4 linked regions of the Schizosaccharomyces pombe genome follow. The protein of the gene in region 2 purifies or fractionates together with the protein of the main gene of each other region. This does not show direct contact. Each region holds a gene or a part of one and is shown on either strand. Other genes may lie near its edges.

Region 1 (8,849 bases), 2.2 Mb from region 2:
AAATATACAAACATAAGATAATGACATACCGTTTGTGCTAGTAAACTGCCGCCAAACCAAACCGCATTTCGTTGACGTTTATGGGAGATAACATTAACGTCTACACCACCACTTTTAGCACCGGAGAGCATTTCACTGCGGTGAATACGCTCGTCAACAATCCGCTTGAGATCTCTTTGTAAGCGGTTGCCAAAGTTCTTAAACAAAGTACTACCACCAGAAAGGACAATGTTTTTATAAAGGCCTTTACGAACGTCAATGGGTGAGCTCTGTACGACGTTGTCCACAAGTTCCGGAAGAGGGGTCAAAAAATCGGAAGAAGCAATCTCAGGATTAAAAAATATTTCAGGTGCGAGGAAGCGTTCAAATCCTACATCAATAGTAGTAGAGTGTCCAGTAATTGATTCAGATGCATATTTTAAATAACGGTCGGGCTCACGATCAAATCTACTAAACTCCTTAACAATGTCCGGACAAACGTAGCAACATTCCTCTTTAATTCTTTCAGCAGTTTTGAGACTTGAATCAGGTTCATTGCGGTCACGTAATAAGGATTGAACAAAGTACGTAACATCACGACCAGCAAGTGGCATTGTCTTAATGGAAGAGCCGATAACATATCCTTCGGCCTAAGGTTTATCAGTTAGTAAAATTCGGGCATATATATATGCATTTAATGTTCAAAACTGTTTATCTAAGCTCGTATTAGATTTTTTATACATACAACAGGAATAATATGAGTAACGCCATCACCAGAGTCAACAACAGTACCGGTCAACGAACGATCAGTAACTTTTGAAGATGTCCAAGAGGCGGCAAGAGCCAAAACCGCTTGAACAGCAATGTAGAGTCCTGCACAGTTGAACGACTCAAACATAATCTCTGCAGTATTTTCACGGTTTTCAGGTGGATTCAAAGGAGGTTCGGTCAAAAGAAAATAATGGTCCTCTGGTTCACAACGTAAATATTTAAAGAGAGACTGTTGCCAAAAACGCTCCATATGGTCCCAATTTTCTATTTGTCCATGACGGATAGGATAGTCCAAAGAATATCCAGCAGACGCCTTTTTCAATGCATCGTTTCCAATAAAAAAGTCCAAGTCCTCAGTTGCCCTTTTGCTTGAGAGATGCCCACTGCCTTTCGAGGCCATGTAAGAAGGCTTTGATGAAACAGCCGGCCCTGAAGAAGCACCCGCAGAACGCGTCGCAATAACAGTGGGGAATACATAAGAAGGAGCATCGTTCCCAGCATAGCTGAAATTAAATTACTGTTAATAAATGCTCAAAAGAGAGATAATAACATCCTAAAACGACTATTACACATACCCAAGCTTGCTATAGCCGGTACCGCTAACAAATAAAGTTAGTAACTGATATTCACGAACAATTTAACTTCGCTACATCAATACTTACTTGTCCATTATAATGGGAACATTAAACGAAGCCATTGCTATTATTTTATGAAAAGGTAAGCGAAAGAGAAGTTGGTTCCAGTTGAAACTCTTAATATCGTCTCGCAACGGTCACCGATGTCGAATTACGTGGGTTAACGGGAAACATATGGTAATTTACGAGATGAGCCGATTACGTTAAATGCGAATGCCCGTATACAACCCACTTTGGATATCTTTACTAAGGCCAAATTAATTTACACAAAAAATTAAATATGTATTTCTTCAATACCAGTACCACCGGTTAAAATTACCAAGTTGCTAAGCTAGAAGACGCTTCTTGCTACTAGAAAATTAAATATTAACGATCTTGCGTTAATCCCTTTTCAGTAATAAAACTAACCACGTTGGTATTATCAAACAATTACAAATGTAGATAGCTATGTCGAATTTTTAAACAAATCATAGTATTAAAGACCTTATGCTTTAAACCTCTTAGCCTTAAACATTTTTAAGCTGTAATCATGGATTTTATATTCACTCATGTAGCAATTATTACTTGTGAACCAAACCATAAACTGTTATTTTAATGCTATTAATTAATGCTCTCATTTGCAATTTCTATTTCAGTTTGCATTCACAATCACAGTTAGGAACCGGACATATTGTATGAGTTGAAAACCATTCTGAAGCATGAGATGCGTGAGCTCCATGGCCACAATTTAGACAAAAGCTAAACCATAACCCAAATCTAGATTTCTGAAGATTAACTTCTTTGACATAGTTTTGAGGTTTTTGAGAAAAGTCATCTTTCTGAGGAACATCTTCATCTCCTAAAGAAAACCCACATACAGAGCACTTTGGAAGAGGCTGTCCGCAATGAGGACAACTTTTTCCCAAGTGTTTTGCTGGGCCTGCTTTACTGACACCTCGTTGAATTGGCGTTGGTAAATTATTACATTCATTCCTATTGGAGAAAGGAAAAATTGGTTTTCTACAAAAATTGCAGATAATGCGTATAGATGGCTCTGTAGCCTTTCTGGTTATTTCTCCTGTGTGATTTTTTGAGAGTTCTGTCCGAAAGATATCAAACTTTGCACGCTCACGGTAAAGTTTCCAGCGGTTTAGAAGCTCTCTATAACTTTCAGTCCAATCCTCTGCACGTTTATCCAGAAATTTCTTAGGTACCACAAATGCAGCAATCAATGCAGCAGTTTGAACATCGCTTGTATGATCAATGTAGTTCTGCAGAAGTTCCATTCCCAAAGGAGTTAAACCTGTAAGTAACAGGCCTTCTGGGTCGCCTGATTGCACTGTAGTGTGACATAAATCGCACAAATAATTACTCAAATCGTCATCTGGTAAAAAGCGAAGAGCAATTCCAAGACGATCTTTTAATGAGAGAGAAACTTCATCTAATACATCTCTCCAATCGGAGTTGGAAACATACGCAAATATTGCACGTAAGTATGGATCTTCCAATTCTGTACTTAAGTTACGAGACATTTCTTTCCACAATGAGTCACTTCCAAAGTTACTTAAGCCTTGCGATGTAATGTATCCGGCAACTGCTGTGGATATGGTCTTCTCCAGCTCATTCCCACTTGATAATATACGGACTACGTTTTCAATTTTTCCGTGGAAAAGTGCTAACCCAGCGGCTTTTACATGCTCATTCTTGCGAATCAGTCTTCTAATTTCCAACAACAAGTCATCATTTGACATTCCTAATCCACAGGCAAGTAAAGCGAGTTGGCGTAAAGGCCTTTTAGTTTGGATAGACGTAAATATATCTAAATCAAGTCTCTCAATAACATCTCTAGCAAGTCTTAAAATTTTTTTTTCTAAAAATTTGCTTTCTTTTGCTTCAAAAACATCGGACATGCTAGTCAATTCAGTATCCATAAACCAAATACCTAGTGCACCTTGATAGCTGAAATCTGTATCTCCTGTGTCTCCAAACAGTGATTCTTCTGATTGTCTATGGCTTAAGTGAATCCAAGACCATAGATCTTTTAAGTATAAATCAGAAACTAATTCTGAGTTTTTTTGGGAATCAAATTGGTAGCCCTTTTTGACGCGATCTAGTATTGTCCCTTGAATATCAGATCCAAGGACGCGGTTATAGGAAAGCAATACTTCATGAGCGGAATCCTCTGAATTGATTGAGTTGTTTCTTGTCGTTAGAAAGACTTTGGAGGAACAAGAAGACGAGGAATCGAAAGAGTTTTCATCGACAAATTCGCTGACATCAAATTGTGGGACATCAGAAAGTGTGTTAAATGGTGAAGAGTTTAAAGGATACAGTTTTTCTTTGAAGGAAAATATCAAATCATTATAAGGGTTAAATGAAAAGGGAATGACCTCATCATGGACAGAAAAAAGTTTCGGTTGTTCGTTTATGACACCCAAAATTTGAACATGAGTTGGAAAGGCTGTAGAAGGAGTAAAAAAATCAATGCCAGAACATTGTGAATTTGGTTTAACAGGATATTTCTTCTCATAATTTACAAAGACAGAATTATTTGCGGATCCTTCATTTCCATTGACACAAGGCAATAATTGACGAAGTGTAATCGAATTGTTTGACAAAACAGCCAATTGTCCAGGTTTCCATTCAGAATATTTCAGTGCAAATAATTGTGGATTTTTGGGCTTTTTATTTTCGTTCCGTAAAATAATTTGTAAATAATTATCGGATTTGAAGTATCGAGTATCAAAAATCGCAATGTCACCATCATAAGAATTTGCGGCAAAATAGTTAGGAGAAAATGGATCAACAACTATATTACTATAATATTGCGTATTGACGGAAGAAACTGAGTCTAGTTGCTGCCTAGTATCAATTATATGGACAGAACGCGAAGTTGATCCGGTAAGCAAAAGAGGAGTGTCTTTCTTATAACAAACGGAAGAAACTCCGTCTAGAGTAGAAGACTGCATTAAGGGACTACTCTTCGGGTCAGACAGTAATGAATTCAAGTCCCATAACTTCAAGGAAGACTCGTTTCGAGATTTTGCAAATCCAGCAACAAGATGTTCAGTTTCAGAAAATGCCAAACTATTGCAAGGGCGAGCATATCCAGGTGTTACTACTGCTTGAAATTCTGGATGCTTAACAGAAAGCAATGATATATTTCCGGTAGAAGAACCAGCACCCAATATTTCATTGTTTCCGTGAAAAGAGTCTATACATTTAACATTTTTCAATGATCTCCAAATAATGTGAGTTTTCCAATTTACTTTAGGGGAAGCTTTGACGGCGACATATCGAATCTCATCTGAGGAGCCGTTAACCCAAAAATAACAGCCATTCCTCTTTTTACTTCTATTTAACATTCTCTAAAGAGAAATTTGACAATTAGGCTTTACCAGAAACGCCCAAAATACTGCATAAACATTAAACAGAGCTTGATCGAAGCGTTCTTCAATCTCAACCACTCGTCAAACATAACGTTTAGCACTAATTTGCTTAACGATAGCTAACAGAAATGCCTTAACAACGGACTGAAAAGAGGCTGTCAAATTCAAAGGTTTTCTTTTTGCTATTGATGATTCTCTTAACAATAGTAGTATTAAAATACAGACCGGTTGCTAGATTAACTATCTTTTGCATACTTTTTAATCTCTAGGGTGACTTCGGTGTCGAACAAGCGATTCTTTGATGTACTGTTGAAAGTCTAAGCTTTTAAATCACTCCACAAGTACAACATATAAATCTACCTTGAATAAGTGTGAGTGAATCAAATATTTTAATCATAATTACCAGCTTAAACTTATATATAAAAGTAACGTGTCACTTGAGAACCTAGCAGCTGTAAAAATTGCAGTCCTTTAAGTTTACTACTGTTCTTCACCAGAACTAATTGTTTATGGTTTGAATTTCTATTTATCTATTTTATTGAGCGTTTTAGCATGCCAAAATTTAAGGGCCCTGGACTTTCTGTGCTGAAGAAAAAAATTCGCGACAATGAGAGATTATTGAAAAAGGTGTGTAATTTTTTTGCTGGTTTAAAAACATCTGCGGTTTCAGTGTGTAATAAATATTACCTTCCTTTTTATGTTAATGAATAAGAAAACTAACTTCCTTTAAGGAGAATTTGCCTGCAAACATTCGTGTTGAACATGAACGAGCTCTTTTGGGTCTACAAGAGCAGTTGTCTATGGCACAGTTAGAGCATAAAAAGCAAAAGATTTTTGAAAGATACAAAAAAGTTCGATTTTTTGGTATGAAACATATATAAAAACAGCATTTTTTGTTCAGTGAACTTGCTTACTGATTTTCTCAGAACGTAAAAAAGCAGAACGACGTATTAAACAATTGGAAAAATCTTTGAAGGATGAAACTATGGATGATGAGAAACGCAAGCAGTGTGAGAAATCGATGCGTAAATGTCAAATTGATCTTATGTATATTAAAGTATGTTTGTATTTTCGACTTCATTTCAACTATCAACTTGGCTAAGATACTAACCTATTTAGGAATACCCCCCTTTAACAAAGTATGTTTCACTCTACGCAGAAGGCACATCTGAACAGACCGAAGAAACTCGAAATCGCATTTGGGCCGAGATGGAAGAACGCTTTAATAGTGGCAGAAAACACAAAATACCATCTTCAGGTTCCAACAGGGTTCCTGTACAGGAAAAAAGTTCAACTGGTGGTGATTTGGAAGATGAATTTTTGCAAAGATAAATGAAAACTTGGATTGAGGTTTTGGAAATAAAGGGATTAAATAGACGAAACTGTAATAATATGATTCATTCTTTTTAATAAAGGTTGTGAAGTTTCCATATGAGTTATCGAGCAAGGTATTCTTTTTATGCAAGTTTATTTAAATTTTTTCTATGTCATATTGCAATGGGATTTGCTAGGGTACCAAAAATAGAACTTGTGGGAGAGAAGCTTTTGGATCCTAAGGTTCACTGAAGATATTTTTCACATATTTCATTCTATAATCTAATATGCTAAAATTCGAATGATATTTCATGGAATATCAAATTAATAAAAATATAAATTTACAAGAATTTAAGTAAAAACAAAAAATTAGGACTTTCATTTTGTTCTGTTTTAGGTGGTCGAATTATTAGACAGTTTAATAGTCTTTATCATTGCAGCAGTGTTTTTAAGAGCTCTTAGATGGACTTTCGGTTTTATCATCACAGTACCCTGTTATTTGCCTGGCAAAAAGTTACCTAGTGGGGGTTTAAAAATCAACACCAGTATGTAGTATATACATTTTATAATAATTATTTTTACATTTGCTTCTATAGATTGGTATATTTGAATTTATGGGTTTAAGACCTCAATAATATGGTGTAGTATATTGACTTTGCGCCCTTGGTGGTGTCCACGGATACCTAACCTCCGCACCACACGAAGTTACGACTTGTTTAGTGTCGATATGGCTGAGGGCACAAGCCAAAGGCCATTAACGCCTTTGTCGCAGGCATTTTTGTCAACTAATACTCTTTCTCCTGCTTCTTCCCCTTTAACTTTCCATTCTGAGGCTGCATCTCTGCGTAGAAAACGGTCCAACTTTTTCCCCAAATTAGATGAATTAAATGGAGCTCAAGATGAAGAAATGAGAGGTCTTAATATTCCTGGAGGATCAGGATATCTCGAGAACCGATATGGTCGTGATAAGTTTACGTTTTCTGATGCAGCCGTTAACAGTGCTGGAATGGGAGGGTCTGGCATATTTTCCCACAACAATGCAGATGATGGTTTGGGTGATGGTTCTTCTACGGTTTTACCAAGTTCCCTTAAACAAATGCTGGATCCTGAAATTTCAACTGCCAATAATCCATCTGCAAAGCCTCGTCGAACTCGTCTTCAAACTGCTTGGAAAGAAGCAACTAATTCAGCAGGCCTTTCTCTCCGGTCTGCAAGTGCTTTAGATGTACTCAAAAATTCTGGACCTGCTACTACCTCATTACTTTCCTCAACAACATACCCTTTTGATAGTTTAAATGCATTCAACGAACCATCCCATTCACATGTACCAAACTCAGCTTCTAGCACTGCTCTGTCTAGAGGTATGAGCAACTCTGTAACTTTGACGGCACCCCCTGAACCTGATGAAGAGACCATTCCTACCGCGATTGTTATTAAAAATATTCCATTCTCCTTGAAGAAAGAAGTGTTGTTTAAAGTGTTCACTGCATTAGACATCCCACGTCCATACGCTTTTAATTATCATTTTGATAACGGAGTTTTTAGGGGCCTTGCCTTTGCTAATTTCCATTCTCCAGAGGAAGCCAAAACGGTTGTGCAAGTTTTGAATGGCTATGAAATTACTGGTCGTCGTCTTCGTGTTGAATGGAAGCGTCAACTACCGCCTGCGGAGCGTGAACGTGTTGAGCGTGGTAAACAAGAGAAACGCGCTGTAGAAGAACGAAAAAATCAATTGAAATCTCCGTTTTCTGTTGCCAATATAGGTGCTGGCATTGATTTTGATTTGAATGATCCAGCTATACTCAATGTATATTCTCATATCTTGTTATTTTATTATCGCAGCGATAACACTAATGATCTTGTATTTGATTCTTCAACCACCCAGGAAGAACGTCGGGTTGCTGCCTTATTAGCTTCCCGTCTCAATCTCAATCATTCAGTTACTGGTGACGGTGAAGCTAAGCAAGTGGTTATTACCATGCCTAGTACTCATTTTACTCCCGCTAATAATTCGAGTGCTAACCACTCTCCTTTGATGGCCCCAAACGCCAGTACTTTAAATCCTTCTTCTTTAGGTGCTTCCAATTTGAGCCAACCAAGTCTTGCAAATCACTTGAGCTCCTCTGGTTTATTTGACAATGGTCTTTTCTCGTCCGGTGGTCTTTCTAGTAATTTTTCAAGTCTTAGACGACCCGCTCCCTCTATGCATCTTGCGGATAGCATACGTTCTCTCAGAGGACTAAATGATTCTAAAGCCTTTTCCGACATACGTAGTATGCCAGCTACTCCGTTAGAACTTGCTACTCCTTTTGCTAATTTAAATGTTTCCTCTCCACTGGATCGCAATGCGACTAATTCATCAAATACTTTAAACGGTAGTGCGATGAACGATTATTTTGCAAGCCTTACTCCATCAAACACCGGTGCTATTGGATCCAGAACTTTTACAAAGAATTAGTCTTGGATTTTTTGTTTTTCCCTGCTTTTGATTAATCTTGTTTTGGCTATGTCTCGGGTTTTATTAAGTTTCATTTACCTTACGATAATAAGCGCTTTCAAGCAAATTTATACTTTGTACATAAAAACGACGAGTGAAATTATCTCAATGAATTATCCATTTTTACGACCTAGTGTTCAATTGAGGACATGATTTTCATGCTTATATCGTTTACATACTCACTTCGGATGTGCATGTGATCGGGCTCATGCTTTTAAACTATAATGTGATTCTTGTAAAACGAAAAGGATTTAATTTAATAGATGATATTTTTCTCTCTTCAAA
Region 2 (7,187 bases):
CCTTTTTAAAATTGTGAGAACACGCAAAACCAATTGCAATTGTGAACAGTAAAAGGAGAAGAGTGATAACCGAAAAAGTGGTAATCATCTGCTTTGAAGAAGCATAATACTCTTTCTGTGTTGAAGTATACATCCGAATTATCTTGAAAAGGATATACGGTATGCCACATACGTAAAAAAATTGAACTGTCATCATGAGAAACATATTTTCAGAAGACACAGAGTTGAATGATAAAGTTAAAATCAATACCGTAAGCGGTAATACCAAAATAGTAAGTACGAATTCGACAACAGCATCCTCCGGTAGAACCATCACATATTGTACTGTCACTCCCAAAACTAGAATATTAGCTATTAGGATATAAATTTTTGAAATTGAGTAAACTTACAAAAGTATATATCAATCTTTAACAAAGTCACGTATATCTTATAAACCAAATATCTCCTTCGCATGCGTAGTTCAGGACCTATTTTTTTGTAGATGACCCATCCATACGCTTTGTTCATTCCATGTGCAAGGAACCCTAACATTACACTTGCTACTCCAAGGATTACCGGAAGCGCAATTAAGAATGGTTTGATTCTCTTGGGGACTTCAAGTATAAAGTAAATGCCCTCATTACCTGCCTCATGCCTATTCAAAATTAGCGTTATAGGATTAAGAGAGGATTGTGTTTTGGAAAGAAAAACTTTCTGAATCTCTGCTAATTCTGAAATTTGAACAATGGAATAAATAAATAATGCGACATGAATGCATAGCAATCCGATGATCTAAGGATGTTAGCACTGTTTAAGAATTAAACTTAAATCCCGCTTGCTTTTTCTAGTTGATAAAAACGGATAGCTTAAAATTCACGTACCTCAATTATATTTTTTGAACTTAAAGCTTCTACGCATAAATATAATATAAAGAAGCATGCAAAAATAAATAGCGTTAATGAAATAGGCAAACTGTCAATTCCAAGATTCTTTAGCAATTCCACAGTACGGAATTGTCCGATACAATATCCTTCAAAACATATTATCAAAAGGCATTCTAGTATAATTACTGTCAAAAAAAAAAATTGATGTTTTTGGAAGTGTCTTCAAGAATAATTTACATCGGCTAAAAGCTTCATAAGTTGTTTCTCTAAAATTTGTAACAGACTGTTCAATTCGATGTTTAAAATCCCAAAACATTCAATTTGGCCGGGTGTGGTAGTGCCTTTAATGTATAGTGCACTCGGATAAACACGTAAATATCACAAGCTAATGTATAAGCGATGACAATTACATAACAGTTTTATGAATTGCGATTTTAACAGAATTATTCAAGTTTTGTTTAAATGATTATTAGATATTGCAATAAAATATCTCGAGTATACTTAGCTAGAGCTGGATGACTCGTCAGTCTTTATCTCACTGAGGTACGTTATAATGATCAACTTGAAAGTGAAGCGTATCAAATTAAAAACAAAAAAAAAGCCATTAACGGAGGCCCTTCAAACTTCAAGCAACTAATTTTGTTAAGTTGTCAAGTTTATGAAAACTCTAAGGATATATTGCTTATAAAAAATAGGAAGGAGAAAACCAGGCAGAACCTGTTTATTTACAAAACGATATAGTAAGAATGAACTAAAGCTCATTAAAAGAAACCAAATATCCTAAAAATTAAACGCATCCGCTCTTTTCGCACTTTAATCTATTCGTTTTAAGCTAAACAACTCGAACAATTATCGAGCTTTCATGCACTTATGCCTAATTGAAGTTTCAATGATTTGACGTATTTTTCGTTGCTTTCTAACAGCGAAAAAATTCACTGGCTCAATCACAATTTTCCACTGTATCTCCTTAATTTATCTTTTATACAGTCAATATGGCTTGGTGCCTCATTATTTTAATTTTCTGTGGAAACTAGCGATTTATATCTTCAAATGTTTGAAAAGATAGGAAATCAATTATAGTAACAAAACAATTCTCTCTCTCTAGATTTATATATGGACAAATAATTGACTCAGTGAATGGATAAAAGGTTTTACAATTATCTAGCGGTTTTGTGATCTTTTTATTTAGGTTTAAGTTAAGCGAAAGCTTACGTTAAGAATTAAGCAGAAGTTGTAATAATACTGCTTTACACAAATTTAGTTTTAGTATTTGAATTCTAGCGTAAAAATAACACAAATACTTTTATTAAAACTTCCTGTTCAGTAAAAATTTGATTTATCCGACTGAAGTCTATTAACTATCGTTTCAAAGATTAACTATTTTTATATGATTACTGTGTATACTGGATATTACTAGCGCAGTTATCAAGCAAAAAGATTAAGAAAATCAAGTTTTATACTTTTTTAAAATCTTTTAACCCTAGAGGCTGCTAGCATCTGTTATCCATACGAAATAATCCTTAATGTTAATACAGATATGATTTTTATCACCTTATTAACATTAATGATGTAGCGAAATGTGGCTGTAGTCAGGAAGCTTTGACGTTAAGAATCAAATTTGTATAATTTACTGACCCAATGTACACAAGTGTTATATGACTTTCCATCTTACCGTTACATCAATGCAGAAATCTGAATATTGTTTGTAAATAATAAATTCATTAGCACAACTACTTTTCTGGGTAGCGTACAAAGATTTATATGGTTTTTGAAGTTAGTCCCCAAATCGACACTTGCACATAAGCTTTTGCATCCACCAGTAGGGGCATAACGAAATATTAAAATAAATATCTTACAAGTTTTAGCTTCATAAATTAAAGGTTAGATAAAAAACTCGGAAATTTTTAAATTCTTTAGCTTTCCTATGGAGTATTCTGAAGAGGGATGGATGGATCAAGCTGACAGCTTTCCGCCTCGTTTATTGGCAATATTTTTTGCATTATTTGATCCCTTACAAGGCCCTATAGTAGCTTGTGAAGCTCCTGCTGGATCGGTAACAAATGTTGATGGTGGAAAGAACTGTCTTTTACCATTCGAAACTATTTCTGACTATGTGATTCCGAAACGCGAACTTTGCAACAAAACAATTACTGTTTGTACTAATCATTATCAAGTCATTGGACATCCAATATCAATTATAGGTAGCAATTATGAGAGAAATGCTTTGATTTTCAACATGTGTATGATTTTTCATGAAGAAGAAGATTCAGCATGTTATATACCACTAGTAAAGCGACTAGCGAGAAATTTAGAGGTCTTAGAAAAGCAAATTCATTATATATCTGATTTGAACAAAAGACCTGTAATTTTCAGCGTAATTGAGCAAATTTTGGAGGACATGAACAACTTTTGTGAGTGTATGATACAGCTAGGTATGCGCAATTATTTCATTCGGACTTTAACTAACTTTCTAAGACGACCAAAATTCTATTAATATCAAGCTTTTTCCCGTTTTTCCTTCTCCTCCTACTGTTAAAAGTTTTCATGTACCAATTTTAACGGCTCAGTTGGATTTACTCATGGACAAAAATTGGGATATGACTGTTCAAAAGGTACTCTCTTCCAAAAAAATTAAAATTGACTAATTTTTTAGGTTTATCCTTTTATTAATGGCATAAACTCAGTTCAAAGGATTGCTGAATTAGCTAATGTTAGCTATAGAAGTTGTCAAAAATGCATGGAACACTTTCTATATTACGGTTGTCTAATTATAGCTGATATTTTTCAATTCCATAATATTTATGCTATGACTACTAATGCTCCTAACCTTTTACAAGACCCAGATTTTCAAAGAGAATGTACGGCATATGTATCAACTAACAGCTCTAATGCGAAAAACGTTACTTTTGCTACTATTTTCAAACTGTATTGTAGTTTAAGGCAAGGACTTCGTGTTAAGGATTGGATGAACGAGAACAAAGAAATTTTCAAAGGTTTAGACGTTCGAAGGCTAATCTCGTTCGGTACTATAAAAGGGCTAATATATCGTGTGCATAAATACCCATACTTAGAACGAAGGACTATGAGGAATAACTTAACCGAAGAAGAGAAAAAACTGCTTGGTTTGCTGGATGGAAAGCACCATTTTGATGAATTGTGTGTCACATTGAAAAAGTCTCCAAAGGTTGTTAATGAAATGATTGCTGGATTGGGTGATGCCTGTTTTATTTATGTATGAATAAAAAAAATAGTCTTGCGATTAGTCTTGTTATTTTTTCGGATGATCGGAGCTATAGTCGTTTTAATTTATCTTCATTGCGAGTTCTGCTGTCAATTTCAAAATTGTCAAGTATAGGATTGGAATACATTAGCATCATATTTATGACTATGAATAAATTTGAAGATATTATCAAAACACTGCAATTTACAATGGTTGATTATCTGTAAATTGGCCTGTTAGGGAAAACGATTGTAATTGTGCCTTTTGTTTATACGCTGAAACTTAAGAATCTAAATTTTGGTTATCGCGTACCTAATTAGAAGTATTTAACACTTTATTTTCGTCATTTATTTGTTTTACTACAAAGAATTATTTATTCTACAAGATTACCATGAAAATTGAATTTCATCAATACATCAGTAAACATCGACTACTGTATGTCCATTGATCATAAATTCATAAATGTTAATAGTAGATTTTATTTCTATTTTACTTTATTGTTCAAAAATTCCGTAAATATGGCGCAACAAAAAAAGATCCTCAGCTTAATGGAGAGTATATTTGGTACATACTTGCAAGCATTATTAATACGTTGTTTATAATAGCACTTCAACTGCTAACGCGCATTTTCCGACTTGTTTATGCCATTGCATGGCTGTATTGCAGCTTAACGTATCCATAATAGCGAGTACGAAATTTGAAATCAGAAGAGGATGTTTATATTTTACTAAGCATAACGTAACGCGAAGGACCGTCGTAAATTTACTATATATATCTGCTGCATTGAAATTAATCCTCTGAGTATATTCACAATGTCAAAGCGTATGGAAATAAAAATGAAATTAAATACTAACGTTTATTAGATCATCCTGATTTAGTATTATGCAGAAGACAACCAGGAATTACTGTTGGAAAGTGTAAGTGTAAAGTGTTCTATAATTTGGCATAGTTAAATAATTGGCAGATTCTAATACTCATGAATATACAGTATGTGAACGATGTGACGAAAAATGCCCTATTTGTGATTCTCATGTAAGGCCGACAACGTTGGTGAGAATATGTGATGAATGCGCGTTTGGTAGCTCACAAGACCGATGCATTATTTGTGGAGCTCCAGGTGTTTCTGATTGTTATTATTGTTCGGAATGCACACGTATGGAATATGATCGTGATGGTTGCCCTCGTGTTATAAATCTTGGTTCCAGTCGGACGGATTGGTTTTATGAACGGAAAAAGTAAGTTAACAATTTGCATCGCATACTCACCATTTTTAGGTTTAAAAATGCTGGAAAAGAAATGCCGGGTGCAACGTATTAATAGTACATCTAATGGTAGACTTGTTTCCTAATTCCACTAATTTCCGGTTATGGTATTTATATTATGTTTGGTGCTTTTTCATTATTTTCAATTTATAACTTACTATGCTATTGATTGTTTGCAGCATTATTTAATTTTTGGGTATTAATATACGAAAACAAAAAAATTTTTATAACTCGTATTCGCTGAAAAGCAAAGAAAAATAGTTTATACTCTTTTTCGTCTTTCTACATGCGGTGCAGAATTATTTCGAAATGTAGTACGACATTTATCAATGAACTAAAAATTGTTATTAGAAGTTAATTAGACTCATGTTTATTCATTATCCACCTATTCCTTTAGTCTTCTGTTTTGTGGATCATCTCATAATCCAAGTAGCTCGACGGATAAAATATATAATTAACATAAACGCTTAAATTTTTCCACATATTTAAGAATTGCCATAATACATCAAAATCGCTACCAAATGTTACGCTCTTCAATTAATGTTCTTAAAGCATCGTAACTACAGCAATGTGTACTTTCGAACGGCTAAGAGAGATAAAATTTATTATTATGGATTTAGAGATAATTAATAAATAAAGCGGGAATCCTTGTCTATACGCGGATATGAATTCAAATAAGAAAAATCAAAAAAAAAAAGAGAAATCACTTTAGATGAACAAATATTTAGATAATAGTAGTTAACATTTGATATACATGCTAATTATCAGAAGTAGCAGAATGCCATTTCGATAGGCTATTCATACTAAACTCATCATGTTCCTTATATGGATCCGTGCGAAAATCTTCTGATGAGTACAGGTTCAAAGCAAACCCGCTATCTGTATCGTCCGAAAATGTTTGCCATTGATCTAAACATGTAGTCACGGAACCTAAGCTAGCTGTGTCAGCTAATTCATCATCAAAGGCTTCAATTTGAAGCCTCAATTGGCTGGGTTTACCGGGCGAGCTTTCGCTTGTATCTTCAAAACCAAAAATATCTTCGACAGGCTCATCTTTAACATTGTCCGAGTAAACCTTTGGTGAAAGTATTTCAGGAGTAAAAAATGTCGATGAGGGGTTTTCGGGGTTGCCTTTCAAGTTGAAATTATTATCAGGATCCAAAAGATGCGGTACATCTCTATCTGATGATTCTTTTTCAACATCATGTGTTTGACGATTGATTGAGTTGATGCTCGGATTTTTTAGGGTGCTTGGGCTTGTCGAAGAAGGTCTGTCGTCGATGTCATTAGAACTTTCAAGAGAAATGCATTTATCTAAATCAGATTCAAACCGCAATACTTGCAATTGTGACTCCATTTTTCTGATTTCCAAATATAATGATTGCGCTTTAGCATCGACCTTTTTAAGGGCTTGTAAAATAACTACTCTTGTTTTCGGCTGTAGGGGTGCACATGTCGATAAATTTTTGGCATTTCTTTGTAATACCATGAGTTTCTTATTGAACTCAGTAATAGATGTTTCAAGTTGGTCAATACGTGTCTTAATTGTCCGGGCACGTGCAATTTCCATATCCTGTTTCATTTGAGCTTCAATTGCTGCTAATTCTTCCTCCATATACTTTGGATAGCAAGAAAAGTCTCTTTTAGGATGGTAAGAATCACTTACAGGCATTCGCAGACCAGCTGTACGAAGTGTTGAGATGTAGTTAATTTTAGCTACCCATTCTATCATGCTTTCTTCTGTTGGAGCACAAAGAGTCTCTTCAGATCCATCCCGAAATATGACGGTAAAAGAACAATTGCGTACATTCTTCTTATCTCTGTCACAATAGGCAAACGCAT
Region 3 (7,524 bases), on a different chromosome or scaffold from region 2:
TCTTCCTAGACCGTTACCGTAATTTGTGGATACCACGGTATATTAGAACCCAATGGCCTTTATGATATAACTAACCAACATTATAAAAGCAAATCTGCCATACCCAATTCGTTTCTTTCTTTTAAATAATCTCTAATCATATGAATAAAAAGGATAAGAAGTTTAATTACATTTTTGGGTCAGAGATTGTTAATGATGTAAAAAAGCGATTACCTTATTACAAATCTGACTGGATTGATGCATGTCATTATCGAGTACTTCCTGCTTGTTTAAATATTTATTTTTCAAAGTATGTGCGTTTCAAATATACATTTATCACAATTGACATTTTATCGTGCTTTTTCTAAACTTGCTAGCTTACTCCCAGAATTAGCATTTGCCTTAGATATGTTTGCAAAAACAAATAACAGTTTTGGGGTGAATGAGGTTTTACTTGCCAGCGTTTTAGGTTCAGTTGTTTTCGCGTTGCTTTCTTCGCAGCCTTTGTGCATCGTCGGGGTTACAGGGCCTATTACAGTCTTTAATTATACTGTTTACGATATAATGCATGATAGAGGAACACCATATTTCCCTTTCCTTTGCTGGATTTGTCTTTGGTCAATGATTTTTCACTTCATCATTGCTATAGCAAATGGGGTTTATTTTGTAAAGCATATGTAAGTTCGCTTTTTGCTTTTATGTTCTTGTGATATCCAGCTAATTGAAAACTGTAGCACAAAATTCAGCTGTGAAATTTTTGGCCTATATGTTGCGTTTATTTATTTGGAAAAAGGCGTTCAAGTTCTTTGTGACCAATTAAAGTATGGGCTTACAAATACATTTCTGTCAATTACTATTGCTTTATTATTTTTAATGGTGGGATGGCTTTGTGATACAGTAGGAAAATCTTCTTTATTCAGTTACAAAGTACGTATTCTACTTCTTGATTACGGACTTGTTGCATCCATCATTTTTTTCAGTGGGTTTCAGCACATTGGGAAAATGCGGGAAGTTTCTTTAGCGAAACTTCCTACAACAAAAGCTTTTGAACCCACGTTATCTAGAAGCTGGTTTATAAAATTTTGGAAAATACCCGTTGGGGATGTTTTCCTGGCAATTCCTTTTTCTATTGTTCTCACTATCCTATTCTATTTTGATCATAACGTTTCTGTATGTATTGTTTAATTTCCTTTTTTTAACATTAGTAGTCTGTAATGGCACAAGATCCTTCGTTTCCATTAACCAAACCTGCTGGATTTCATTGGGATTTTTTTCTTCTTGGTATAACGACTGGAGTGAGTGGTATTTTAGGTATTCCTGCTCCAAATGGGCTTATTCCACAGGCTCCCATGCATACTGCAGCACTTTGTGTTAAAAGGGTTGATTATGATGAAGACGAAATTGAAAAAACGCATAAAGAAGTTATAGATCGAGTTGTTGAACAACGAGCTAGTAATTTCATTCAGGGATTGATGACTGTTGGCACCATGACTGGTCCACTTTTACTGGTGTTACATCAAATTCCTCAATGTGTTTTAGCAGGATTATTTTGGGTATTTTTTTTTTTTTTTGAAGGGAAGATTATATTTTGCTAACTGAATTTTAGGTGATGGGGTTTTCAGCAATATTTGGCAACGGTATCACTCAAAACGTAATCTGGATGTTAAGTGACAGAAAGGTGGTATCTAAAAACCATACTTTAAACCACTGTAGCTCAAAACGCGTAGTTTGGTTATACACTATTTTGCAATTAATAGGTTTTGGTGCTACCTTTGCAATTACTCAGGTTGATAAAGCATCCATTGGTTTCCCTATTATTATTTTATTACTGATTCCATTTAGGACTTATTGTATGCCTAAATGGTTCCTTGAAGAAGATCTTGAAATTTTAGACGAAAATGTGGGAATTATTGCTTATCAAAAAGTATAATCTACTTTTTTTAAAGATGGGGTCTTCTATAAAATATAAAAAAAGCTTGATGGAATAGGTTGTATAATTAGGTATTTGTCATGACTTGATTTCAAAGACGTTTTCTAATAATTAATTTACTAATATCGTACAATGGTAATATATTTGGTGTGTTAAATTTTGATTAAATATTAATAAGCTAGTCCAAGCTATACTTTCGTAGTTTCACCAAGAATGCCATCGAAGGATGTAATCATTATACTCATTAAGAATATTTCGCATTAGTTTCCTTGGTAAGCCTTCGGCAACCCATATAGTTTGTAAAGCAAACCTACCATTTAAATATTTGACAATTGACGTAAACAATGGAGCCATTTCTGGTCCCCTCTCATAAGCTATAATTTGAATCCATTTCTGTTCAAGCAAAGAGGCAGAGTGCGGATCAATGATAATAGACTCTTTGCCATTATCTTGTTCAAGTTGCTTTCTAAGCTGCATGTCATTTTTAGAAGACTCATCAGATTCTATTAGTGCAATCGCTTTTTTCTTAATTTCTTCTGGAACGAGAATATACATATAGATATTCTGTTCATAAACCCAATTTCTTCGACACAGCCAAGCAAGCATTTCCAAATAAACTAACTCATGATCTTTCGATGGAATAATGGAGGCAAATGGTCGCGGTTTAAACGACAAAATAGCTAAAAATGTTGACAGTGAGGGAAGGCTCGGAAATTCCTTTTTAAAAAGCTTTGACTCCTCCTCCAAATTAAACAGATTAGCAGTTGGGGATGTAACATAAGTATTCCGGATTAACAAAGGAGGAATAGCGATAGCCTTTCTCCAATGAATAAGGTGTTTTGCTAGAATAAAGCATTCTGATACTGATATTCCTAGACGATTAGCGATATCTGTGAACCTGAAATATTGTAAGTTAGTATTTAATAGCAATAATAAATTTTGTTTAGACTTGACAAAACTTACGTTAAGTTAGGTTTTACTATGGCAATGAAAGAAGAAAGAAGAGAATTTTGTAAAAGAGGAACACGTTTCATTATAGTGTCTGTATCCTTTAAGAGCAACAAAGTCCAATAGGGGGCAACGAAAGGTTCAATAGAGGAAGGATGTTCTTCAGAGAAGATGGTTTGAGATGCTAAAATAGTTGATGGTCTAACCTGCAGTTCGTAATTTTCAAGTGTGTTGGTGGAAACCGACATAGGCCAGAGTAAGCTTAAGTTAATCGATTGATTTATCTCTAAATAAGCCGTATGCATGTTAATTAAAGCCTCATATGTAGTAGCAAGAACCGAAGCAAGATTTGAGTGATGAGGGATTTGAGCGGCATACACATCGAATGGGACGTTTTGGCTTGAATATTTTTCAGTCAGTTTTAAGATGTGTATACACTCATTTTCAACATAATTCCGTTTTGCTTGTTCATATTTAAGTCCAGTAACTAACTTGACTACTATATGATCATACATCGTGTTTACAGTAGGGCGATATACGGTAGCTGTAGGCACATTTAATACAAAGACGACATGAAATAAAGACATTGAAGATCTCGATTTTGATGAAGATGATTTTACTTCAAAACTTCCTGTCGAAGGGTGTGAAGATTCGGGCTTTGATACCAAATGGCTCGAAGAAGCATTAGACTCAACAGTAGTTCGTGGTTTCCTTCGTTTAGCCCACTCACCGTTCGGACCAATATGAACAGGACATCCCAAAAAAGTAAGACCATCCACCCAAATTTCAAATTTTTGATTGCAAAGTTCAATACGAGGACTTAGCATATTTGCGAGAAAGCCTTTTTCATAACCAAGTACATGTGTATCGTCAGCTACTTCAGTAAACCTATTATTCTCATCATCATCGCTGTCATCAAGGTCGAGCATCCCGATTGCAGACTCCGCTGAATCATTATTATGATGAGTGGCTTGTAGACGTACTTGAGGTTGTAGCGGCCAGTGAAAGACGAAATTAGCTCCTGATGTTGTTTTTTCAACAAGGAAAATGGCTACTAATCGAGGAGTTAAGCGTACCATTTTGGCGTTTTAAAACAAAGTATAAATGTGTATGTTCGATAATTGAAGTACATATGTGTGTTTTTTAATATATTTTTCACAACAGAAAACCAAATATCACCTTAAACATTATACCTCAAGGGGGTGGTATCGTTTTCTGGTAATTTGCGTGTAGTACGAAAGATTTGTGAGCGATATGCATCTGGCAGCTCGGTGTTTTAATCGCCTAGTACAAAACTAATAAGATCTAACATGAATAGTTAAACTGAATGTTAACTAATTATTGACATCTTGAGATATGAGTTCACGGCTTTGTAAATTAATGTGTGAATTGAAAGTAAAAGCATCGCTATGCAAAATTTCTAATGTGCGTAAAACCTTAGCAACTTTAATAGCTCCAATTCAATTCTCAAGAGTTTCTGATTTAAGTTATAAAAATGAATTGACTAATTTATATACAATGTTTTGGGTTATTTACATTTCAGTCACATGTGCATTTGCACATATGCTGCTGGACTTACTGTTAATGTAGTATATTCATACCGCGAAGAAAATACCTGAATCATTTAAAATGACCGTGTAATTGATATCTAACTGTTGAAAGCATCGGAGGCCCCAATGTTCTACAACAAATCTCACCTTGCTTTGACCTCCACCAAATCTGTATTCCTTAACAATTCGTATGAGTGATAAGGAATGTACTGTTTTTGTACTTGACTTGGGCAAAGATATGGGGACCTGTCACCATGGCAGGTCTCATTCTGATCTCGAATGGACTTTGTCGTATTTTCACGACGAATTGTCTCATAAGGTATTTTGCTCAACATTATCGACACCCTATTGACACATACTCAGTTTTTAGCAAATAGGAAGACAGACGTAGTTGGAATCGTTGGTTACAAATGCGATGGTATTCTATTGTAATGTTTTAAAGGTACACTACTTCTAACTTTTACGGTGTTTAGATACGAAAAATGATTTAGCTGAGCAGGAAGCCTATTGGAATATCAGTGTTTTGTATCCTATACAAACGTAAGCTTTCTCTTAAATGCTCCATTAACTTCTTAACTAGTGCCTTATTTTCAAAGCTACAATCCGTTTCTCAAACGTTAAAACCAAGCAATACTATGCAAGGCGATCTGATATCTGCAATAGTTGTGTCCTTTGATTTGATGGCTCGGCATTGTAAAAAGAACAAATGGAAGAAGAAGATGATAGTGCTTACGGCAGCTAGGGGGATTATCGACTTTAGTGATTACATTGGAATTGCCGAACAACTACTGCAGCATGATGTTTTTCTAGGTGTTTATGGAGTTGATTTTGATCAAGAAGATATTAATTATTCTGAGCCTTTAAAGGAATCTCAGAAAAAGGAAAACGAAGTTCGAATTCAAGAGTTTGTTGAGAGTTGTCATGGTCAGTACTGCACATTTCAACAGATTTATAACAACATCGGTAAACCTTGGGTTCGTAAAGTGAGACCTGTCGCAATCTTTAGAGGTACATTTAGTATTGGTAATAGAGACAGCAAAGATACGTCTATAAGCATACAGGTTGAAAGATATCCTAGAACTCGTTTAACTAAACCGCCAACATCATCTGCTTTTTATGAAAACGATATGTCTAAAAATTATGAATGTCTTAATATCGAAAATTCAAATGTGGAAAACAAAAGTATGGAATCTGATGCAGTGTCTACTGTTCGATCGTACATGGTTCGTGATCCAAAAACAAACGATTCTTTTGAGGTTAAAAGAGAAGACTTGGAAAGCGGTTATAGTTATGGTAGGACAATCGTCCCGATCAGCCGATCAGATGAAGACGTATTGGCTTTAGATACAATACCCGGTTATGAAATCCTTGGATTTATTCCTAAATCTAGTCTTCCAATTTATTATACCATTAGTGATACTAATATAATCGTTCCAAAAGATGACTTCGAAAGCAAATTAAATTTTTCTGCCTTTGTTCAATCCCTTGAACGTGAACACCGATATGCGCTCGCAAGGTTTGTTTCTAAAGATAAGGGCGTACCAGTTTTGCTGGTCTTGATGCCTTACGTGGAGTTTAAAAGACATTACTTGGTTGATATACAACTTCCATTCGCTGAAGATGTTCGGCCTTATTCTTTCTCAGAGTTCGAGAAACTGTCAAATGAAGAGGATATGCGACAAATTGATTTTGCCGTAAGTAATTATATCGATAATATGGATTTAGATTCCTCTGATTGTGGGTTCAATCCTCCTTTTGAGCCCGAAAATACCTTTAGTATGATACCACATAGACTTCAACAAGCTATCAGTTATTATGCAAATTCACCAGAAGGCGATCTTCCTCAACCAAATATTTACTTAACACGTTACACCAATCCTCCAAAAAGTTTACTTGATAATTGCATTTTGGACTTGAAGTTGATTAAGGAAAAACTTACAGTGAACGTCCCCGTCAAACCAAAATATTCTTCTCAAGAAACAGCCTTCGACACAGGCGCCCCAATATCAGAGGAACAAATAGAAGAACTACTAAATTCTGGTCTCGATGAACAGGAAGGAGAAAAATTATTAGTCCTTCACGTTAGTGAAAAAGACCCAGTAGGCACTTTCACTGAAGTTTTGAAAAACCCTTTTGGACTAGAGGATGCTTTGACAGAAATGGAAAAAGTAATTAAAAATCTTATTGACAAGTCTAAGTACGATCTTGCTTTGCAGTCATTGCAATCTCTCAGGTTACACTCAATTTTGGAAGACGAAGTTGAAAGATTTAATGAGTATCTTACTCGATTGAAAAAGGACGTAATGCAAAATAACAAACCCAAGGAGAATGAGCTTATTAACAAAATAAGATCATCTGGATTAGATATTATTCTCCATGATGAATTGACTAGACATGATAATTTTAATAACATTTAGCATAGGACAACAATGACTTGTCTTACTCGAACATAAATAAATAAATTTTATTAAATACTTGCAATATTTTTTTTACTTTTATCCAAATTTCTAATAAAAATTTTTAAGTCATGAATCCGCTATTTATTAGCATATAGAATACACGGTCGCAAAAATAGAAAATAGTTTTAACTTAAGTAGTTTAGGTAAACATACCTATGATATTTCAGAAAACACAACTATCGTTTAAAAACTTGGTGAGAGTTCCTTGCATTTTTTTATTTATATTCTATCTTTCACAATTACATTATTCAAAGAACATTTTAGACTTACTTTCACGAATTGGACAAATATCGGGGACATGCTTAAGGAGCTACAGCAGTGTTCCTTATTAGTGATACTAAAATTTAATAGTTTGGTCGTATCTATTTACCTACCACTGACTTTTTGATCTGTTACGCTTCGGCGATTGGAAAGCGTTCCTGAACTTTCTGTCATTTTAAATAAAATTTAAATTTTTTAAATATTTAAATTAATTCGATCAAAATGACTGAAGTCGAAACCACACACATGAATGCAGGTACAGAGAGCCAACAAGAGCCTGCTGAGCTAGCTGAAAAGCAAAAGGCTATAGGAAACGCTTTCTATAAAGAAAAGAAATATGCAGAGGCTATCAAAGCCTATACAGAAGCCATTGATTTAGGATCAGATTCAGCGTTGG
Region 4 (8,299 bases), on a different chromosome or scaffold from region 2:
GAACTGAGAAGGGGCAGTCGGAAGCCTTGAAAAACGTTAGAAAACTCATTTTTTTAAGATTATTATATCAAAAATTGATTTTATGTGTTACATTGCACATGTATTAGCAAGGGTTGAGCGGTACGTTCCATGAGCATGCAAAACAGATGATATGAATTATCAAGTTTGAAGTAGCTTTAAATAGAACTAACAATTAACTACTTACTCAAAATGTCGAGCTATTTTGAAACCCTGCATACTTAAACTTGATTTCTGAAAGACGAAAAGAATATTAAACCTAACCAATTATTAAAACAGAATTTTGCAAATCTCTCGAATAAATTCTACAATTGTTTAACTGTTAAAATACGCAGAATAGAAAATGAAAGATGGAAATGAAGAACAGAGAGGACCAGAAGGAGGGTTATTTATGCACCAGCGTAATGGTAATGGTACAATTTATGAGTGAACTAAAAGTCGAACCCAAGTTGCAAGTAAAAATCTAATAAAATGATGTAAACGAACTCTCAGCTGGGAAAACCTTAAAGTTCCAAATGAAAAGGGATACTGAATATGAAAAAGTCTCCGTTAAATACGATTGCCATACAACTTCTCAAATGCCATGAAGTATTTAACGAATTTCGTTAAAAAAATAATTGTAAACATATTGGTATGTGTTTTCGCAATTATTAACGCCTTGGTGAGTCATAAAAGTATCATTGGAATAAAAATAGATTTTGTTTGTTTGTTTTTTTGGTTAATTCCTAAATGGACAGTTACGGGAATTGCTTTGAGTTGTTTTCGTTATGTTGACGATTAATTAACTACAAAGTTCTCACGTGTCAGTGTAACAATGTTACCTAGACTTTTAGGTACCTATTTATTTAAAATTGGGTCTATGTTTATTTTACAAGCTTGAATCAAGTAAATATATATTTTCTAATCATATGAATACTAAAAAAATTTTTACAAAGGAACCCAGCAAAACTATCAAATGGAGCCAAAGTAGCTTATTTATTTAGTATGAATGTGATACGCAACGCGACGTGTCGCGCGTTTAATTTACTGGCTTAATACGCGAGGCGAGGCTTTTGTTTACAAACAATACTAGGTGAATATGAGAAAATATTTGAGTAAACAAACAAAATCAAATTGTATATATATCCAGGATACTCCTCCAAACTTCCACAGAAAAAAAGATAGGTTTATCTTTTTACTTCTAGAGGAAAACCTGCATCTTGCTTACCGAGGCCATTGCTGAATATTAAAGCCAGACATAAGTAGGATTAACCAACAGGTGAATTCATCAGCCTCCCAAGGAATATATATACATACTTCTTCTTCCTAAAAATCTTTCCGAGTCAATCCGGAAGAGTATGGACTTCTATTCAGTGAAGTCTCAGCCGTTTGTTCGATCTCCTCTAGTCGACCAAAATCCCAGTATACAAAATATAAACGAAGAAGTAAAGAGAGATATTCAAAATCCTCTTAGCTATAAAACAGAAACTTCGGACAAAGAACTGTGTCAAACTGCAGCTTGCGCAACTTCATGCTCCGACTGGTACCCTCAACAACAAACGCACATGCCTCATCAAAATGCCTTTGACTCTGCTAAAGCCACAGCAAAGATGGCTCTCCCACCCACTGCTTTTTCAAACTACTGTGTAAAACCTTCCCTAACGCGAAACAAGGATATACCAAGAACCAGCATTCGAGTTTCCAAACTTCGTTACTGGCAAAGAGATTATCGATTGGCGTTTCCCAACTTTATATTTTACTTTGACAACGTTGATGAGGAAATCAAGCGTCGTGTTACGCAAAAGATTAATAATCTTGGAGCCGTAAGTAGTTCATGCAAGAACTTGCGCAGATCAAAACTAACACATATATAGAAAGTAGCAACATTATTTACTTTTGAAGTTACACATTTCATTACCACCAGGACTACCGACCCAGAAATGTGCCAGCCGAATGATGTACTTTACCTTTCGAAAACTGCCAATATGAAAATTTGGCTCCTGGACAGTAAGTCTTCTTAATATATCAGTGTAACCTTCGCTAACTTTCTTAGAACTATTGAACAGAATCCTCTTTACATTACTCAACTCTGATAGCCTGGTTAATACCTCAGCTTCGTGCTTGCAATCTCTCCTAGACGGTGAAAAAGTGTATGGTACATCAGACAAAGACTTTTACGTGCCAAGCAAAAACGTCGAGTACTTTCGTGAATACTTCCTCTGCATTAGAGATTTATCACAATACTATAAGCCAATTGCAGTACGAGAATGGGAGAAAACATTGGATTCTGGAGAGATCTTATGGCCAAGTCTTGCTATAACCGCACAAGGAAGATGTCCATTTAATACTGGTAGAAGAAGGGAGTTAAAAATCACAAAACATAACCATCCAGCTCACGAAATCAGAAAACAGCTCTTAAGTTGCACTAATCAAACTAACCAAAATAACGTTGTTAAAAATTCAGCGAGTGTGTTGGTGCGTCAAATCATGGGGGACTATAATATCACAGAATCAGCAGTTGATGGTGCAAAACAAATGCCGACAGAGTTTCCAAAGCCAGAAAACCTCTTACCGGTAGAGAAACGCGCCGCAATGTCTCCACTTAACCTTCTTGAACCTCGTTTAATAAACAAACAAAACACCTTGGCTAACCAAAGTCCTCGACAACCACCTAATGCCTTCGATGCAGATCCTCTAGCTCACAAGAAGGTGAAAATCGAAACAAAATCAGGATATTGTGAAAACTGCTGTGAGAGATACAAGGACTTGGAAAGGGTAAGTTAAACCAATCATAGCAAAAACAGCACTAACACATCGATAGCATTTGGGCGGAAAACATCATAGAAGATTTGCAGAGAAAGATGAAAATTTCCAGGGTTTAGATGATTTGTTTTTGCTAATCCGACGCCCAATTCGGACAAATTAACGTTAGTTCAAGTTTTAAGGATGTCTCAAAAATTCCAGAAAGCAAGTTCAAACATTCAAATAAACCGTAAAATCAATATATCCTTTGTCCAAATGAAAAATTCAAAATAATCTGCTAAAAGGGAAGAGAAAATTAACAATATAATGATGTGTTGTAGCATTCTTTTCTTAAACCAAGGTCAGGCTTAAGCCTATGATTGTAACAAACAATGCAAGTAAAGCTCCAAACATTATCGAGTTTAAATCAAAATAGATTTAAAATAAGTTAGACTGGTTTTCCAAGCGTGGAAAGCTCATTGGTGATACACTCTTTCAAAAGTTCAGATTTGATTTGCATCATTCCTTCCTTTGCGTTTTCTGTTCCAACAATCCCTAATAATAATGGGTCTTTGGAGTAAAGTTTATCTTCAGCCCCATCAATTGAAATGGCGGCTATTAATAATTTCCCCCTTTCAAACTCAATTATTGTTTCAAAAAGTACATCTCTTTGATGAGCAATCACGTCGTCTGTAGACTCCGCGACCAAAGGGCTAGGGTTGGTTGCAGTATAAAGTGAATACATGTTGCCTGCTAAAGCCGCAATAGATCTAACCCTTTTAGCTAAATCCAGACGTTTTAAACCATCTTTAGGATCTTCAAAAGAAACATAAGCTAGCAGCGAGCCAGTAGTGGTAAAAACCCTAGTTTGTTAATACCTCAGAATATTTCAACAATAAACTTATATATCTAAGCTCCAAAATAGTACAGGTGTACCCACTGGATTTGAAGTAAGAATGAACTTCAAATTCACTAAATGCTTACATGATAGACGGTACAGTTTCCTCAACTGCCTGTTTCATCAACGACGACAACTTCTTTGGCTTAATCATCTTCGAATTTAAACTTAGATAGCAGTAAAGGTAGCAATATGTATTTTAAAGTCCAATCGGCAATAACGATTTAACCTGTTTTGAATGGTGGTTATAAGTAGTTTGTAAGCTACGCAGTTTGGTATCTGATTTAAGGATACGTAGAACTGCGGTGAGTTTTCCTTGTGGTCTATTATATTACAATACACAGGTTGTATAAGTAGCAACTGAGTATAGGTATTGTATTAACTGGGTTATAATGTTACCTATCACTAATATAGCTCATAACTGAACTGAGGAACGAGGTTCAGTTGTAACGCTATTTATAATATTTCTAAATAGTTGTTATCAACGGGTATCTATGTATATAGAAGGATAGTTACCCGTGATTATCAATAAACGGATCTTAGCTAGTATTCCAACATATGACATATAGTGATACGCAACGTAGTGTAGCATAGCGTAGTGTAGTATTGCTGACATAGTTGGACAATATACGGTGGACGTAATGTGTATTATGTTAAGTAATCTGATAATAAATAATATTGTTATAAGATTCCGAATATTTTATTAAAGTAAAAAATGTTAATCGACATATATACATTTTTATTTCTTTTTATTGTGTTTGAAAATTAGGGCTTGGTAGACCAACGTTCTCCCAACGAATGCTTTATTTAGAAAGCTGATTTGCATATGCAGTCCGTACTATTTGGGCCTACAGAGACTTACCATTAGTTACATATACAAATGATCTTCCCTTCATTATGAAATTAAAAAGCTAACTATTTTCTACAGTTTGAGAAAAAATGACTACGTTTCGTCGTGCAGCTTCAGAATTCCTCAAACATTAATTAGGATAAGGATTACCCAATACTAAAGGGACAAAAACGGGTTAAGATGTATCATAAAACAACACAAAGTTATCTATAATATGACATACCACTAATAACATAGCGAGTCAAAAGCGACGTACTCACTTCCGAAGTTGTTCGCAATATAAGTAATTAAATTGGGAAAAACACATGTGTTAAATCGTTTCGTTAAAAGCTATAGTTAAGTCGAAACAAATTATACGGCCATTAAACTGCCAATAAAATGAAGGACCAACCGAGGACGAACGGCCACAATATCTTCTGGCAAAATAAAGATTACGGCACCCAACTTTCTGGCGATAGAAATAGCAAGACGAGCTAAACGATGTGTTAGTAATGAAAATTAAAAATATATCAAATATATATACATACCATTTTGAATAGCAAGTTCTTCAGTAGAACCATCGGTAACAAGATTGTAATCAACATATTCGCTCTTAATTCCATGAAGTACGTCTAAGACGAACACACCAGTGGAAATAGAAGGATCACGGAATGAACGAATTTGAGAACCTTTACCACCTTTAGCAGCCATAGAATTGGCCCACGCAACCATGTCACTATCTGAAAGAGTTTTACCTCCACGGCTAAGACTATGTAGAGTTTTGGTAATGTTCATACGCATCATTTGCCAAACCAATGCTAAGGTGAGTGTACGAGAACCGTCAGTAATATCAGCACCTTGTATTCCTACCAAAGAAAAACCTTGATTTTTTCCAAGGTCCACTGCATAATTACAGTTTTCAACAGCTTTGAAACGCATCATTTCATCTCCAGATGCAGGTGCCTTGTTCACCTTTTTCCAGTTAACGGTATTAGGTGTGATTTTATCGTAAGCTTGCAACAAAATCAAGCCATCTCGTAAATTATTGAAGAAGTCATGAATGGATGGAGTAACATCAAGAGAGTTCAACCACAAGGTAAAAACACGTGCCTCACGCTCACCTTCTGCATCAAATGGTTCAATCTCCGGCTTTTCCTCTTCATTTAAAGGCTCCAAACCTGGATGAGTATTAAAGAGATGAGCAACAAAGGCAAGGTTAAGCTTAGGGTTCCCTGCAACCATAGCGGTAGGTGTAAGATATTTGCGGCAATCCAATTTTTCAGCATTCTGTAAAACCTGTTCAGCACGCTGCAAAACATCTGTAGTTTGAAGAGGAGCACGTGAACAGAGTTCGGGAGCTAATTGGTTGAGCAGCACAGTATAATTCTCGCCATCTGAAACATCTTTTGAGAAGTTAGAGACAGTACGCGGCCAATTGGCAGCCTTTAAGTGATAATTGAACCAGCGGAGAAGAATTTTCTCAGGAGGGAGACGGAGAAATTGGTCAAGGGTTTCATCCTCTTCGAGAAGGCGGTAAAGCTCGGGATGTAAAGTAATATCAATCTTTCCAAGGAGACCGCGGCGAATGATTTGCCAAACAAGACCAAGAATCAAATGTTCACGACCTTCTAAAATATCGCCGGCACCAATGTTGGTAATGGAGATACCACCCATAGCTTTTGCGGAGTTAATAACAACATTGTTATTTTCAATACATTTGAAATTATCAAGAGGCTTGTTATTTCTCTGTTTATTGAGTACACGCTCATCAATGGTGTCGGGAACGCTGTCATTAATTAACTTTGAGAGGATTAAACCATCTTTGCATTGATCGAAAAACTCAAAGGTTTCAGTGTTGATGGGGACTCGGGAACCAACATCAGGGTCTCCAGCTAAGACGGAATTAATATGCTTGATAAATTCTCTTCGCTCTTCCTCATTAATGGTATGAGAAACACTTGAGGAAGATCCTTTGATAGTAATCCGACCCTTTTTTACTTCAGTACCTTCTACACCTTTTTTTAAAACATTGAAAATCTATATGCATTAGTAATCCAATTGATGAAGCGATATAGAGACACATATCGTGAAAATTACGGAAAACATTACTTACTCCTACAAAGTCTTCGGGTTCAACACGTCCAGACGAATCAACGTTAACTTCACGAATTGCTTCACGGACCTCATCGTAAGAACCCTTCTTTGAATCTTCAAAGGCTTTAATAGTGGTAGGTTGATCTAAATATCCCTTTCCATCCACATCAAGTTTGTTAAATTGGTCGGTTAAGGTTAGAATTTCCTCATTAGTGAGCTCCGGATACTTCTTTTGAAGTTTAAGAGCTAACATTTCTTTAAAAGTAAAATTTGACCAAAAAATGTATAGTAAACGAAACCACACGATGTGTGCTTTGGGTGGCTTGCAGTTGCTACGTGACAAGGATTAACGTCGTGTTGTTGATGCACATACATCATACTTACAGAAGCGTAGAGCAAAACTTTGATCCGCTCGCTAAATGAGTTAATACACGTTTGCTTAGCCAATCTGTTAAAAGTTAATTTGCAATTGTAAAAAGTAATTTACTACTTGACGATGTCTTGCGTTGTAGCTTTAGATTGAATATATAGCTGGGATATCAACTACATTGAATTTTAATTTTTTTTACAGAATAAAAAGCTAAACGTAAGTCCATATCAAATTAGCGATATTACCGAATTCAAATGCCATAAACATCACAAACTAGCAAGCTCTTTCAATTGAAGTCAACTGATGCATCGACTTGAAAATTACTTAGTACTATATGTCAAGAAGCCAAAATTTCTACTTACTATGATAGTAGATCCTTTGTAAAACGTTGCAGAAAGTTTTTCCGGCCGTGAAAATTCGTGTTTTTTTTCTTTTGTTCAAGGGTTTAGGTCACTGAAGCCAACAATTTTTGATACAATATAAGAAAAAGAAGTAATTCCCGCTTTTAACTGCGCAATAGGATAAAAGATTAGCCAGATGTCACAGGGTTAAACTTTTAACCTGACTACCTTTTCACGTGTATTTCCAGTCTCGTTTATAAGCTGCAATATAAATATTGTATGATATTACTGCGTGCACCAAGATTCTCTTATATTATTTTCTTATAATCTACAAAACTCACAATACTACTATAACGATGCTTCAGAAGATTAGCTGTTCCGGTATTGTTGAAGCATGGTGAATTTCCTTTGCGGCTGCTGTTGTAAAATATTGTCTGACAACTATCCAAATAAAACCTATGGGATTTTTGCAAAAGGCAAACACTATTTTCATAGAGGCACCGCGTTGCAGGGATTTTCAGCAGAGATGATTCAATATTGCAATCAAACACAGTAGATATAAACATAACTTGAAAAGCTAATGAAATACATAAAACATAATTATATTAACCATAATATTCTTAACTTATTGGTTTCTTCAACACTTCCAACTTCAATGAAGCAACAAGTTAGAGGTTTAACTTCTCCACAACGCCAAAATTGCGACTTAGATGATAAAAATATTAAAGTCTAGATAGAGCTCAGAAACATCAAAAAAAACTATGGAATATGATGAGGAAGAAGTAAAAGTTTTGAAAGAAGTTTTAAGCGCGTTCTTTTTGTACAGGCAATATGCTCATACAATAACACAACAGAAGAGAAAATCGATGAGCAGGTTGTCTTTTGAACACAAGGACTTACTCTTACAGGACTCTGACAACAATTTTTTAAAGCATCTTTCAAGGATTGATCAATGTATCGAGCAGAACAGCGTGCTTGCTGAAGCAATCGCTAACGCAGCCATTCCTGTGTTCTGCAGTGATTTCGAT

Evidence for each region.
Region 1: the proteins of npr2 (region 2) and sea4 purify together in Schizosaccharomyces pombe (affinity purification with mass spectrometry, with the first as the bait; one study listed by BioGRID). This does not show direct contact.
Region 3: the proteins of npr2 (region 2) and npr3 purify together in Schizosaccharomyces pombe (affinity purification with western blotting; one study listed by BioGRID). This does not show direct contact.
Region 4: the proteins of npr2 (region 2) and lam2 purify together in Schizosaccharomyces pombe (affinity purification with western blotting; one study listed by BioGRID). This does not show direct contact.

Annotation. Positions count from the first base shown.
Region 1 is NC_003424.3:343,075-351,923, reverse strand, and holds sea4 (GATOR2-SEACAT complex ubiquitin-protein ligase E3 subunit Sea4), read right to left. Parts: upstream 4,813-8,849; 5' UTR 4,730-4,812; coding exon 2,012-4,729; 3' UTR 1,773-2,011; downstream 1-1,772. Other genes in the region: ARP2/3 actin-organizing complex actin-related protein subunit Arp3, read right to left, coding at 30-629, 725-1,253, 1,326-1,349, 1,413-1,447; efg1 (rRNA-processing protein), read left to right, coding at 5,306-5,380, 5,485-5,617, 5,680-5,810, 5,873-6,085; RNA-binding protein Cip2, read left to right, coding at 6,795-8,525.
Region 2 is NC_003424.3:2,493,027-2,500,213, reverse strand, and holds npr2 (Npr2/3 complex subunit Npr2), read left to right. Parts: upstream 1-2,651; 5' UTR 2,652-2,787; coding exon 2,788-3,295; intron 3,296-3,338; coding exon 3,339-3,475; intron 3,476-3,516; coding exon 3,517-4,101; 3' UTR 4,102-4,370; downstream 4,371-7,187. Other genes in the region: RING finger-like protein Ini1, read left to right, coding at 4,896-4,905, 4,947-5,000, 5,072-5,318, 5,358-5,400; guanyl-nucleotide exchange factor Sec73, read right to left, coding at 6,103-7,187.
Region 3 is NC_003423.3:4,302,441-4,309,964, reverse strand, and holds npr3 (Npr2/3 complex subunit Npr3), read right to left. Parts: upstream 4,105-7,524; 5' UTR 3,937-4,104; coding exon 2,873-3,936; intron 2,808-2,872; coding exon 2,114-2,807; 3' UTR 2,038-2,113; downstream 1-2,037. Other genes in the region: bor1 (HC03 family inorganic anion exchanger), read left to right, coding at 141-289, 357-656, 714-1,149, 1,188-1,532, 1,586-1,909; Ku domain protein Pku80 , read left to right, coding at 4,598-4,726, 4,771-4,825, 4,881-4,947, 4,988-6,824; SPOM_SPBC543.02C (TPR domain protein, DNAJC7 family), read left to right, coding at 7,350-7,524.
Region 4 is NC_003423.3:3,101,929-3,110,227, forward strand, and holds lam2 (guanyl-nucleotide exchange factor Lam2), read right to left. Parts: upstream 3,859-8,299; 5' UTR 3,792-3,858; coding exon 3,724-3,791; intron 3,603-3,723; coding exon 3,188-3,602; 3' UTR 2,924-3,187; coding exon of another isoform or gene 2,819-2,923; 3' UTR 2,773-2,818; coding exon of another isoform or gene 2,051-2,772; 3' UTR 2,005-2,050; coding exon of another isoform or gene 1,872-2,004; 3' UTR 1,821-1,871; coding exon of another isoform or gene 1,356-1,820; 3' UTR 974-1,355; downstream 1-973. Other genes in the region: SPOM_SPBC1778.03C (NADH pyrophosphatase), read right to left, coding at 1-25, 206-237; Spo4-Spo6 kinase complex regulatory subunit Spo6, read left to right, coding at 1,356-1,820, 1,872-2,004, 2,051-2,772, 2,819-2,923; fim1 (fimbrin), read right to left, coding at 4,839-4,960, 5,015-6,503, 6,580-6,813; SPOM_SPBC1778.07 (carnosine N-methyltransferase), read left to right, coding at 8,033-8,299.